3 linked regions of the Nothobranchius furzeri genome follow. The protein of the gene in region 2 interacts with the protein of the main gene of each other region in a pairwise test. Links are inferred from orthologs where the notes say so. Each region holds a gene or a part of one and is shown on either strand. Other genes may lie near its edges. The genes, in order: RNA binding protein fox-1 homolog 2, atxn1l and ubiquitin carboxyl-terminal hydrolase 54.

Region 1 (4,197 bases), on a different chromosome or scaffold from region 2:
GCTTTCCTTTAATTGTTTTTCATTATTTCTCAGTAAAATAAATAAACAGCATGTTAGGAGTTTTTATTGTTACTAAACAATATGTATTGTTTTTTAACACGCAATCTGTCTACAACATGTCAAGGTTTTTGTTTCTGCTAATTCTCTTTAACAAGTGTGCCTTGGTTTCATTCACTGTTGCATATAAAGGTGACTAGTTGAGACTTTTGGGACTTCAGCTACTCTGACTTGGGCTCCAACAAAAATCCCACTAGTTGGCAAAAAATGTTTGTTATGGAGCTGGTGCCCATCAAGTAATTCAGAGAAGTAATGAAGTAAAACAACTATATTCATTTTTTATTATGTCGAAAGAAAGGTGCATGGTTTCTGTAATCTATCTACGATGTCCTGAAGATAATATTATCTTTTTTAAATTCCATTCCCAACAAACAGGGTAACTCCCCAATTAAATCAGCAGCTGAAAAACACGATTAGAGAGTAACAATTCAACTCAAGCCTTTTTACAACGAAACTATGCTTTATTATTATTATTATTATTATTATTATTATTATTATTATTATTATTCATTTTAATGCAGGATGAACATTTGCTTTAATGTTGTGTTTGTGCTCAGAAATAAGAACAATCTAATCAATATCAGAACACTCAGTACCAGACTTTAGATCCACATTTATAATGAAAAGTGTCTCCCCGTTGACGTGCTGTTCTATCCTTCAGCCACTTGAAGGCGCTAAATGATTCAGAAAGAAAACCCCTTGTAACGGAATACTGTGCGTTACATTTACCCCCATGTCCAACTAAAATATTAAATGAAGTCCAGACAACAGAAGCCAGATTGGGTCTCATCGTAATTATTTATAATTCTTCAATTTTTGAAAAAGCTAATTGTAAAGACCGGTTTGCATATGTATGAAACAATTAAAAATATAAATATTTAATGTACAGTTTACATGTATTTAGGTTGCATTTTAAAGCTACAAAAGTCAAACATATCAATAAAACCTAAATGAATTAAATGTAGAAAATATGACTTTTAATGAATCTCATTTCTTTTCATTTTTGTCATGATAGTAACAAGATTTTATAATACACAGGCTATTTTAATACAACGTGAAGGAATGTGTTGACATTTTTTACTGAACTATGTAAATTGTTGCTGTTTTATTTTCTTTTTTTGGGGGGGGTGAAATGTATAAAAAATTGTTGTTGCTTTTTTCGATTTTTCTGTGTGTTGTTGTTTCTAATTTCCTTTATTTCTTTATAGACTTGAGGAATTTTTCGTCAGGTCTAAAATCGGTTAAACAATGAAGGTTTTCGTTTATTCGACCAAAAGACTGAAATAAGAATAAAGGAGGGAGCGGTGAGGCGGAGGAGGAGGTGGTGGTGGTGGTAGGTGGCGTTGGGAAAAAGGAGGAGAAGGAGACCAGGGAAGAACAGACCTCAGACCAGTCCGTTTCACCTCAACGTCTTCTGTCTAATCCCAGTCTTCGTGGTAAAATCTGACCTCGGATCAGCAACGCCAACACTGGGAGAGTGTGGGACTGAATCCAGAGGAAATCGTGCTCGTCGGTGGTGGCCAGGTCGACACGAGAAGACTCATCCACGAGTAGACCACGGCGGCGAGGGAACGGACAAGACGGGAGCGACTGAAAGGAAAAGCGGATACGGAGGAGTTTTAACCCCGCAACAGCAGCCAGCAGAGCGAGCTCTGGCTCTCCGCTCCACGCAGGAGTAGTGTGACGTTCTGCTCATTTCCAACATTTTCTATTCTTGGCAGCGGGAGTGAGGAGCTCTCCGAGCCACATTTATAAGGAGAGCTAGCGGAATGTAATGCTAGCGAGCTGGCTAACGTTAGCTAGCTAATTAGCCTATCAGGCATTCGCGAGTCGGACGCTTGATTTTATTAAAATAGGTCACTGCTTGGCGACATCTGACTCTGTTAGGGAGAGCCTGCTCTATTGTTGCTCTTTACGGGTTCCTAGTTCGGCCACAATGGTCCTGCTGGCTTAGCCAAAGCCAAGTTAAGACAATAAACAGTGCGAGCTTTTCATATTGATGAAAATCTGTTCAATATTATCCGCGTTGTGTGGGAAAGCCATTGTGAAGCAAACGGAAGAAAGGAGGTGAAAACAAGCTGCAGACTTTTGACTTGTGACCGCCTGTCGTCCAATGTTAATGTCGACCGACGTTGCATCTATAATGCTACCCGTTAATCGGGGAATAATGGACCGCGAAAGGGACATTGATACAGTAGCCGCCGGACCTCATGCGAGCGCGGCCGCGGGTCCAGCGGTTGTCCGGGGGATGAAACGGGGAGACCCGGAGCCCGACGCTCAGACTGCCGCTGCCCTGACCGACCTGGCCGGGGCGGAATGCAAGAGACCACGGATAGACGGGACCGGGAGCGTGGTCGGAGACATCGGACAGGTAGGATTACTCTAAAACCCGTCAGACACATTCGTGTGTGTTATGTTCTCATCTCTTCTGCTCACATTTGCTCCTCAGCATCATCAGGAGGGATGTTTTGACAGGGCCCTAACTCTCTTTCAGCAACAACACAACCCTGTCATCTTTGCAACAAAGAACAAAAACATTGTAACCAGACAGGGGGTTTATAATTTAGAGGCCAGTGAAGGAATATTGCGAAATGTGTCTCGTTGAGACTCGGGCTGTGCAGTGAAGGAGCAGCCCAGACAAAGGTAATATGATCCAGGCTCCATTGCTATGACAGACAGCAGCACAGCAAAGATCAGACATTCATCATGCCTGTCTCATATGAAAAGCTAGTGCTTCCTCCCATCCGGCAAGATTTTTAACACGTTTTCATTCAAATCAGCTAAAAATGATCAAATATTGTCATTTTTAAAAATGGATTTTCCCTAAATCCTGACACATGGCTGCTCCCCCCTTCTCGGTGTGGCTAGGTGTTAAAAGAGAGAGGCAGACAGGGATTGGGGGAGGGGTCACCACAGTGAAAGACAAAGAACAGAGTTTTTTTTTTGTCGCTGGAGGCTGAAGGAGCAAAAGGAGGCTCAGGGGGGCCTTTCTTAACTGCAGGTCTTCGCTGCATTCATGACTCGACAGCTGAGACAGCAAAGCATCTGCAGCCGGTTCTGCCTCTCTGCACTGATCTACTGTCTACAGTAAACCACTAGTTCTCTGGATTTGTTTGCTATTAGTCCCTCCATCTCCTCGGCTCATAAACACGCCGCACAGCTCTTTTTCTTACACCTACACGCATACAGTTTGAACTGGCATCTAATCCAATAATAGAGCAGGACAGTTTAGCTGATGTCTGGTGTTTTAGTTCAGGAAAATGGCTCTGAGAGGAGCGGCCAGACACAGCATGAGGTCACCTGTGTGCAACCGAATCCAGACGAGTTGGTAAAGCTCTATCAAAGAGGGGGCGCGTGGTCGACTGCAACAAGCGGATAGCATCTATGTTAGCATAATAAAGAATCAACCTTTAAGATTGGGGTAGAGGAAAAAGTAGAAGAAAAGCAAAATGATACAGTGCTGTACTTCTGATATCTTCTGCTTGTTTTCTGTTAGATGTTTCAGCAAAGCAAACAATTTCTAGCCTGCCAAGCCGTCCTATATGTGTGAATATATGGTCTGACCACGACCCATAGACAGAGCTCAGTTGTGGGGCGGAATCTACGGTTGTCTTTCAAACTGTCTTCGCACACACCTGATCAGTGCCAGAGCCAGTCAGAGCAACAAACAGAGTGATGTTTTCATCGCCATGGCAACCAGTCAGTAGGGCAGTCTGCCTTACGCCGTTGAAGTAGTTCTATTGAGTCATGTCTCAAAGAAAAACCCAAGTCTATATCGTCCAAAGTTGATGCCACAATTGTTTCAAACGGGCACCGTTCCTTAACCGGCACCATCTTTGTAGTTTTTTTATATCGCAGCTCTTGCGGTAATCCTAACAAACGTAGAGCGCTGTGATTGGGCCAGTGGTAGACCTGCTGAGGTGTGGCTAGACCAACCTGTGTTTTTGCTGCTGCTACAGTTCGTCTGGATCATTAGGATAAACAACTTCATCCTCATGCTTCATGTAACTTGGACAAATACAAAGTTTTGTTTTTGAATAAAGATTAAATTCACGAAGCTTTCTAAACTGACCTGGTCCTATTAAGATGACTGATGCCTAAATTTAATAATCAGTTGTAACACACTTAACATCAACCAAT
Region 2 (4,103 bases):
ATGGAACAGCCACTTTATAAAGCATACTATACTGGTCAACAGGCATAGCTGATATCCCATCCGAGTTCTCCACTCCATAATGAAGCTCCGGATGGCCTCGTGGCCACTCTCCAGATGGGGTCCTTCTGTGAGGTTCACTGTTAGCTGCAGAGTTCTGACTGGTTGCCCCTTCGTCGTTGCCATTACTGCCTCCAGAAGCATTTCCACCAGCCCCACCTCCACCTATTCCTCCAACTCCACCACTGTTACTGATTGGTAGGTCCCTCTTCTTAGGAGGCAGGCACTCCTGGTTGCGCTCCTGAGCAGATTTCATTGCAATCCTTTGGCCAATAAAGTTGTTTTATTGTACTGCACAGGAAGTGAAACTTGCGAGCCAGACAGCCCACTCAGAAGCCAGTTCTGAAATTACCTGGCTGACCCCGTCTACAGATTTACCTGGAAGGGAAAAAGAAAAGCATCTTTTTTTTACATTCATGTCAGGTACAGTTAGGTCAGTCAAACAAGGACGACAAAGCAGTTTGTATTGTAATAGGATCACAAAACATTTTGAAAAAGGAAAATGTTATTTACTTTGGCAAAGTTTGTTTGCAATGGAGTCGAGTCATTCTTGAAGAAAAAACAACAACCAATTGCTGAAGCAATAACAGTTTTTTAAGCAAAAATGCATTTATTTTACAACCGTCTAAAAAAATAGTCAAATCAAGAGTACTTTATAAAAGATGTGATGTAGTGATTGTTTACCTTCTATGATCAACTCTTAACTGCTCCCTCTTGAGAGTGAGATGCAGTGTCTCAGTGACATTTGTGTGTATAAATAAATATTAAACAGGCGGCATGGTGGTGTAGTTGGTAGCACCGTTGCATGCAAAAAGTTTGCATGTTCAACACCCAGCTGCGGTTTTTGTGTGCAGAGTTTGCACTCTTTCCCCACGCCATGGGGCTACCTCGACATACTCTGGTTTCCTCCCACAAACCCAAAGCATGCATGTTAGGCTAATTGGCTATTCTTGTCATTAGGTGTAAATGAGTGTCCATCTGGTTGCATCCCACACTCCTGTACTTATACAGAGTAATTTGCCTTGATGCCTGCAGCCTTTTCTGTGCCTCTTCTTTTTGGAGTCAGATAAAAAGCAACAGACGGAGCAGAATGTTCATCGCTACTATGTCCTCCATTGTTGCGTTGTGCTACATTTGTATCCTGTACAGACCACGGTGCGCTACTTTTGAGACTCAATGGGCCTGGGTACATGTATGACGAGCGGTTTCTTAAATGTAATCGAAAACCACGCAAACTATGTAGAACTGAGAGGAACCAAACCGCACAGTAAATGTGTGGGAAAGGGGCTTTCATGGCCTTGTGATGAACTGGTGATCAGAACTGAGTGCCTCCCGCTTCTCGCCTAGTGACTGCTTGACAGGCACCAGCTGCCCTAAACCCTTACTGGAAGTAGCCGTTACAGAAGAGGAGATGAATATTTCTACATCAAATAAAATAAATGCTCAAATATACCAGAAGAAACACTTTTTGGGTGATATGGAGTTTATCACACCCCAAATAAAGTAAGAAAACTAACAACACCCACAAAGTAATTAAGAAGTAGAAAATGTAAAACTGAGTTAAGTCAGCCGATGTAAGTGCTGCCGATTGTTTTGGCCGATGTTCAAGGCCAACATTTGGACATTTTACACCTTATTTGCATTCTGAAATGTCACACTAGCTACAGCTGATGTGCAACTAAGCTGAACCTAACCTGTTTAAAACTGTTGAAGCTTAATTTAGTCACTTCCCAGTCATAAATTAAGTAAACATCAATTAACTGGCCAAGTATATAACACAGGTAAAAAAAACAGTAATGTTTTAGATCATTTATTAAAAAGATGTTATTCAGGAAAAATGTGGCTGCACCATACTCTCCATGAAAATGCCTGACTTTAAATCAGCTCTACTAATGAGAAATATTAGACGATATACAGAAAATGGTACATATCAGTCCAATATATCAGTCTTTCTCTAACATCCACCATCTATAAAATACGTAAATTTGTGAATTAAAAAAAATGAAGAAAAATACAAGTCTAACCACGGACTGCAGTCATAAAGATTAGAGTCTAACATTGTGTATTGTTTCAGAAGAACATTCTGTTACAAGTCTGTGAAAAGCATTTGTTTAGAATGATATTTAATAAATATAGGGTCTTTAAGAGAGCACAGGCAGAAATTAATAAATAAATGTTGACTAAAAAAAAGTTTATTTTGTGTCATCCAGGATAGATTTATCTTCCAGTGATCAAAAATATTATATAAACAACGCGAAAGAAAGTTTTATGGAAAGAAACGTATAAAAAACAACAATAGTTATTTAATAAACATCAGGGGTTTCTGTCTCCCACAGCTCAGTCCTGAGTCAGTGTTTACCGTTAGGCTTCTGGCTGACTTGGCTAAAGTTAGCGAGCTACTTCTTGGAAACAACCCGTTTCATTTAAAAACAGAAGCAGGGTGACAGTCAGTACGCCATCGTTAAACATATTTTGCACTTAAATGAAAGCGAATGTAGCACGAGGCCAATGGGTTATAATTTATTATCCGGACCAGGTTGAAGCTAGTTAGCTCCATGGCTAACACAGCTACAAGAGTCCGGCTCGACTCAAACAAACTGTAATGGCTATTGTGAGTTATTCTGCTCGGTCTCGTCCTGCTTCCTTACCTCCAAATGTCATCGCGGACGGGCTTTCCTCTCTAAAACTCCTGATATGCGGAGAGACAGTCGGAAAAATCAAGGCTAACGAATGAAGCCCATCTCGAAGGCCAGAAGAGGCGCTCACCAATGATGTCACCACTTTTACTCATTTCCTGTTTTTCTAAGCGCGCACGAGTGAGTAAAGCACGCGCACGCAAAAAAAAAAAATACTCTAGCGTAGAAAGCCATGTTAACATATAACGTATATATTAACGTACACACACACACACACACACACACACACACACACACACACACACATATATATATATATATATATATATATATATATATATATATATATATATATATATATATATATATATATATATATATATATATATATATATATAGGGAAATTAGAGTATGTGACATACAATCCATTTTACTTTTTTGTGAACATTAGATTTATATTTATACCAAATAATTCCCTTACTAGTCATTTATTTAACATCTTAAATAACATTCCTTTTTAGTACATTTATATTTTATTCCCTGTAGCCGAGTATCACAAACAAATTATTTATTGTAGAAAGAAACAAGAGATGAATAAGTATACACAAAGTAATAATAATAATTAAAACAATTTGTTTGTTGCCAGATACCAAAAATGACACGTTTAATCTGCCAGAGAAAGCCTAAATATTTTAGGGTTATTTAGGGGGCTTTGATAAGTGGAATAAATTCCATAAGAAAGAAATAGTGATATCAAGGCAGGTGTAATTTCAGAATGACTTTTACTATTTAAAAACTTCACAGTGCTAATTAATTATAAGCAAAACATACGAAAAGAAATAGATAAAATTGCGGGGGTAAAAAAATTAATTATCATGAAAAAGAAGACATTATTATTTTAGAGTGCCTCTGAAGATAAAAAATCACGAAGGGCTTCACAAGAACAATAAAAAATAAAAAATACGTAATCCTGACAGATACAGAATTAGCAGAAACAGCAGCATGAAGAGAAGCTAGTGAGGAAGAAACAATATTATCAACATTATTTCATTTTAATTAGTACACTTATAAAGGTGAAACTCGAAAATTACAATTTGGTGCAATTTGATTCAGTAATCCAATTTAGACTGATGGACAATTTAAAGGCTCAGGAACCTTTGCAGGTGTTTTGAATTCATTAAATATTTCCTGCTTTAGCTCATTGATTTAATCTTGTTAAACACAAATAATAAAAACAGATTTATTGAGTTTTATCAGTTGAGTAGTTTGTATAAATGGCTTTCCCTATTTAGAGACTAATTTAAAAAATGTAGGTGGTATGATTTGTTTCAAAGGAATCTACAGGAAGCGCAGATGAGTTGTTTTTTGTTTGGCTTTAAGAAATCGGTAGTAACCACTGCTGTCCACCAG
Region 3 (4,334 bases), on a different chromosome or scaffold from region 2:
CTGAGTTTCAATTTCACTATTACATAGGACACATAAATTATCTTGTATACTAAATCTGATATTTAAAAATTCTTTACATGGATATATATTATTAATCGTTTTAAAGTGAACTTCCTTCATTTTGGGGAGAAGAGGGTAAGAAAGAAACTCTGTTCTTATGACTTTAGTATCTATAATTGAGAAAATCGGAGAAAGAACTTTCCTTCTGACAGGAATAGGGAATAACTTGTCTGACAAGACTGCTCTTAGGTAAGAGTTATTACATTTACGGTCTGTAAAACTCAAATCACCTATAGATAATTTAGGAAGCTTAGGTGTATTTGTTCCATGTTGAATACTTTGACTGACCATCTGGCCAACAGCTGGAGAAATAGCCTTTATAACTCTAGAGTATTCCGTTACAGAACAGTCTATGTTATACTTAATTTTGAACTCAGTATGCTCCAGAAACTTACCCTTACTGTCCATCAGCTGCATTATGGTCCAAACTCCTTTATCCATCCAACTTTTATAATATATCGATTTCCGTTTATACAGAACAAATCTGTTATTCCATATAGAGGAGGAATGTGGGCTAAAGTTTTGCGAGTAGATCATTTTCCAGTACATCAACACTTGTTTAATATAGTTAGAAAGTTTGATGGGTAATTTAAGAGGATCGAAATCACATTTTAACAGAAAATCTATACCTCCAATCTTCTCAAACAGAAATGAAGGAATACAGAACCAGATAGAATCTTTCTTAATTAAAAATTTTTTTAGCCATTGTAATTTAATAACTCCATTTATTACTTCAAAGTCAATGACTTTCAGACCTCCTTCTTCTATAGGTTTTACTAGATCGTTTTTTCCTAATCAAATGTTGTTTATTATTCCAAATAAAGTCATATTGTGTTTTATTTATTCTCTTAACATATTGGTCAGGGATAGCTACTGAAAAAGCAGGATAGATTAATCTAGATATACTCTCCATTTTTGTTAAGAGTATTCTACCAAAAATTGATATATGTCTTTGGAGCCAACTACTTAAAATCTTTTGATTTTTATTAATTATTGGTTGGATATTGTTATCCACTCTCTCCTTAAAGATTTTATTAATCTTCATACCCAAATACTTAATTTCATTCTTAATAGGGATATCGCAAATATGAAACTCCTCAGTATCATGAATTGTTAATATTTCACATTTGTTAGCGTTCAACCTTAAACCTGAGGCTTGTGAATTTTTGACGGAAACTTTTGCAACAAAAGTCACTTCCTTATTTGGCTTCAAAACAGACAAACACTTTGTGCTGTGTTTGTTTGTGAAAACAGTTTCTGGAGATAAAATCACATTGGCACCATCAGGGAGCAGGTGGGATCATTAAGGCTCGAGTCTATGTGGATGTTCTAGGAAACACCTGTTGCTACTGAGGGTTACTGGCCCTTTAAGAAATCCAGGAAGTGACAGGGAGCAGGCATCTGGTGGGAAGGAAGGAGGGGAGGGGCTTGTAGAGGAAACAGGTGTGTGAGCCTACAGCGATGATGTCATTGTTTGGCTGAGTCACCTGCAAGATAGCAGCTGAGATCAAAGAGGAGAGGGAGGTTTTTAACTGGTGGTCTTCCTTTGGAGAGGTTGGTGTGAAAGAAGGAGGCTCTGCTGAAGGGAAGATCAGCTGAATGCTGCAGTTTATCCAGGTGAGCAGGAAAGCAGTCCCTCTAAGGACATCTGAACCTTTAAAACATGATTACTATTTATCTAGTTTTACTCTTCATATACTTACTGTAATCAGAGTAAAGATCATATTTGTTTTTGTGTTTTTTTTTCCACTTTTAAGTTCTTTTAATTAAGTTATAGGTTTAAGTGTGTGTGTGTGTGTGTGTGTGTGTGTGTGTGTGTGTGTGTGTGTGTGCGCGCGCGCACGTGTGTATTCTTGTCTTTATAGGCTTAAGTGGACGCATTTAAACTTTACATCTGTAGTATGTGGACATGGTTAGGGTTAGGCATAGAAGAGTCACCAAAATGAATGGAAATCAACGGAGGATCCATACAGCAATAGAGACGTGTGTGTGTGTGTGTGTGTGTGTGTGTGTGTGTGTGTGTGTGTGTGTCACATGACAGGGTGTTTAATGTTCAGCTGAATCAACCAAATTAGTTTTTATAAAATAAAGCACTTTATGGATTTCATGCTGATTCTACTCGACTCTTCCCTCATTACAGCTTTATCCTGAGGATTGTTTACTGAGGATCAGTAAGCGTTCATAAGGTTTATGCAGCTTTATTACACAAAGACAAAACACAGTCACTTTTCTAAAACATTTTTGCCACATAATGTAGCTTGAAATGCTCTTCACAGACCGATGGTAACCATTTAAAGCTGCAATAGCAAATCCGTAAACAAACTAGCTTTTAAACACAAACACGGTCACGGTACTCTCACCCCTCCCGTTGGCTATGATCCCTGGTCCCACTGATGCCAGAACACACTTTGTCAGGAGAAACAAAATGGTGCCAAACACCAGTGGTAGTTTCCTAGGTCCAAACATTTTTTGTTGACTTCAAATGATGTTTTTCTTTTGGGGACTGGAAGTTTGTCCTAAAGTTAAAGTGGTAGCAGCCTTCTCTAATATAATTGAGTGGAGAACCTCTCACGCCAGTGTTCTGTGACTCAATACGTGAGTGTGTAATAAGTGGACTCAGGGAGGTGTGGCAGTTCAGCGAGACTGGCAACTAGATAGTCAAATAGTTGCTTTTGGACTGAGCCGTGTTATGAGCTGAAGTTTATAGACACATGCGAGAGAACCACTTTATTAACTTGGTTCAGTCATTTTAATCTCAATGTTTTGAGCTAGCTTGTTATGCAGATTTGCTACTGTATGTTTAAATGTTTTATTTAAAAAAATTGATTATTTTTATTGCCTTTGAAACATACAGTTCTGGAGAAACCTCATCCAATCATTGTGAACATCCCATTCCCAAAGCAACGCTTAGACCTCGCCCTGCAGCCCTCTGCTGATCAGAAACAGTTTTGTGGTTTGGTTAGGAATGCTAGAGGCAGCTCTCCATCTGCTATACAGCAATAGCAGTTTACTGTGCCAGTAGCTCATATAAAGGCTAGCAAGTAGCTTTTTCAGTTTGCTGACCTGAGGAAGTGGGAGGGGATGTATGTATGCAGTAGCTCACACAGGTAAGGCAGGGCAAGGTCATCAAGAGATTTAAAAGCAATGCAATCATTTAAACATTAAAATCCTTTTTCCTGTTAGGAGGTGAGCAGCAGCAGCATTTTGTACTGTCTTAAGCTGAGAGATATGGGCGTCACTTAATCCTGCATAAATCAACAGAAGGTTTCACAAATCACCAACTGTCTTTCATAACAGCTGTTGTTAATGTAGACCAAGTCAATGTTTGTAGTTTTGGGACCAGTTCTAATGTGGTCCAGATGCAAAACAGTGCTGAAATATGTGTTATTTTGACTTTTACGAAGGTTTCACAAATCATAAACTATGCTTTAAGGATTCTGTTATTGGTTTAAAATGATATAGTTCAGGTTTGAAGAGTTGAAGAGTAATAAAGGCACAATAAAGACGCTCAGGATTTCAAAACAATTAGTTGGAATTTTCATTTCTGACTCAGAAACTAAGAAAGGGACAAACTTCAGCTTATTTTATGTTTGTATGTTACAGAAACCAAATGTGGACAATATACCAGCCATTAAAAATGTGTGTCCTGTCCCCAAGGACATGTATAATGGCAAACAAAATGCACATAGGGGAGAGTTGAGTAAGTAGATCCTTAAAGTGCCTTTAAAGCAAAAGAACTCTAGGAAGGCCTCCAACTAAATTATGTAGGGCTGGGGGTAAACGACTATTTTTAAAACGATTATTCTGACGATTATTTTATCGAATAGTCGACTATTCTAATGACTATTTATACAATTAATCTAATGATTATTTTTCTATTGCACAGTTAATAAAAACCAAAAAATCTCTAATAAATTCCTCCAAAAAATTGATTAATTGTTACTGTAAGAGAATAAACACTACAGGCCTTCCATTTTGTGTAACACTGCTTTTATTGTGTTGGTTGGTTATGTTCTGGTGACGTGTAGAACTTGGGAGTGCAGGCTGCTGCCTGAGAGGTGGTTGGAGACGGAGTGTCTCCATGCTGCTTCGTCTTGGTCACTTATGTGCGTGAGGCGAGTGGTGTTACGACTCTTCCTGGGGAGTTTGGCTCGTGTGCAAAAAGGAAGGGACAATAATATGGGATTTAAAAGTTAAAATGATGATCGGGTTTATTTACAACTACAAAAAACCAAATCTTTCCATCCACAGGTTGGGAGTAATAAAACTAATTC

What was found.
Region 1: the proteins of atxn1l (region 2) and RNA binding protein fox-1 homolog 2 interact in binary tests that used the Homo sapiens proteins (3 or more experiments, as listed by UniProt). The link is inferred for Nothobranchius furzeri from reciprocal best matches to the Homo sapiens genes ATXN1L and RBFOX2.
Region 3: the proteins of atxn1l (region 2) and ubiquitin carboxyl-terminal hydrolase 54 interact in binary tests that used the Homo sapiens proteins (3 or more experiments, as listed by UniProt). The link is inferred for Nothobranchius furzeri from reciprocal best matches to the Homo sapiens genes ATXN1L and USP54.

What each region holds. Positions count from the first base shown.
Region 1 is NC_091752.1:66,555,789-66,559,985, reverse strand, and holds the start of RNA binding protein fox-1 homolog 2, read left to right. Parts: upstream 1-1,397; 5' UTR 1,398-2,170; coding exon 2,171-2,428; intron 2,429-4,197. UniProt on the Homo sapiens protein: RNA-binding protein that regulates alternative splicing events by binding to 5'-UGCAUGU-3' elements. Prevents binding of U2AF2 to the 3'-splice site.
Region 2 is NC_091749.1:59,412,709-59,416,811, forward strand, and holds the start of atxn1l (ataxin-1-like), read right to left. Parts: upstream 2,856-4,103; 5' UTR 2,706-2,855; intron 436-2,705; 5' UTR 314-435; coding exon 1-313. UniProt on the Homo sapiens protein: Chromatin-binding factor that repress Notch signaling in the absence of Notch intracellular domain by acting as a CBF1 corepressor. Binds to the HEY promoter and might assist, along with NCOR2, RBPJ-mediated repression.
Region 3 is NC_091752.1:44,843,621-44,847,954, forward strand, and holds the start of ubiquitin carboxyl-terminal hydrolase 54, read left to right. Parts: upstream 1-1,511; 5' UTR 1,512-1,677; intron 1,678-4,334.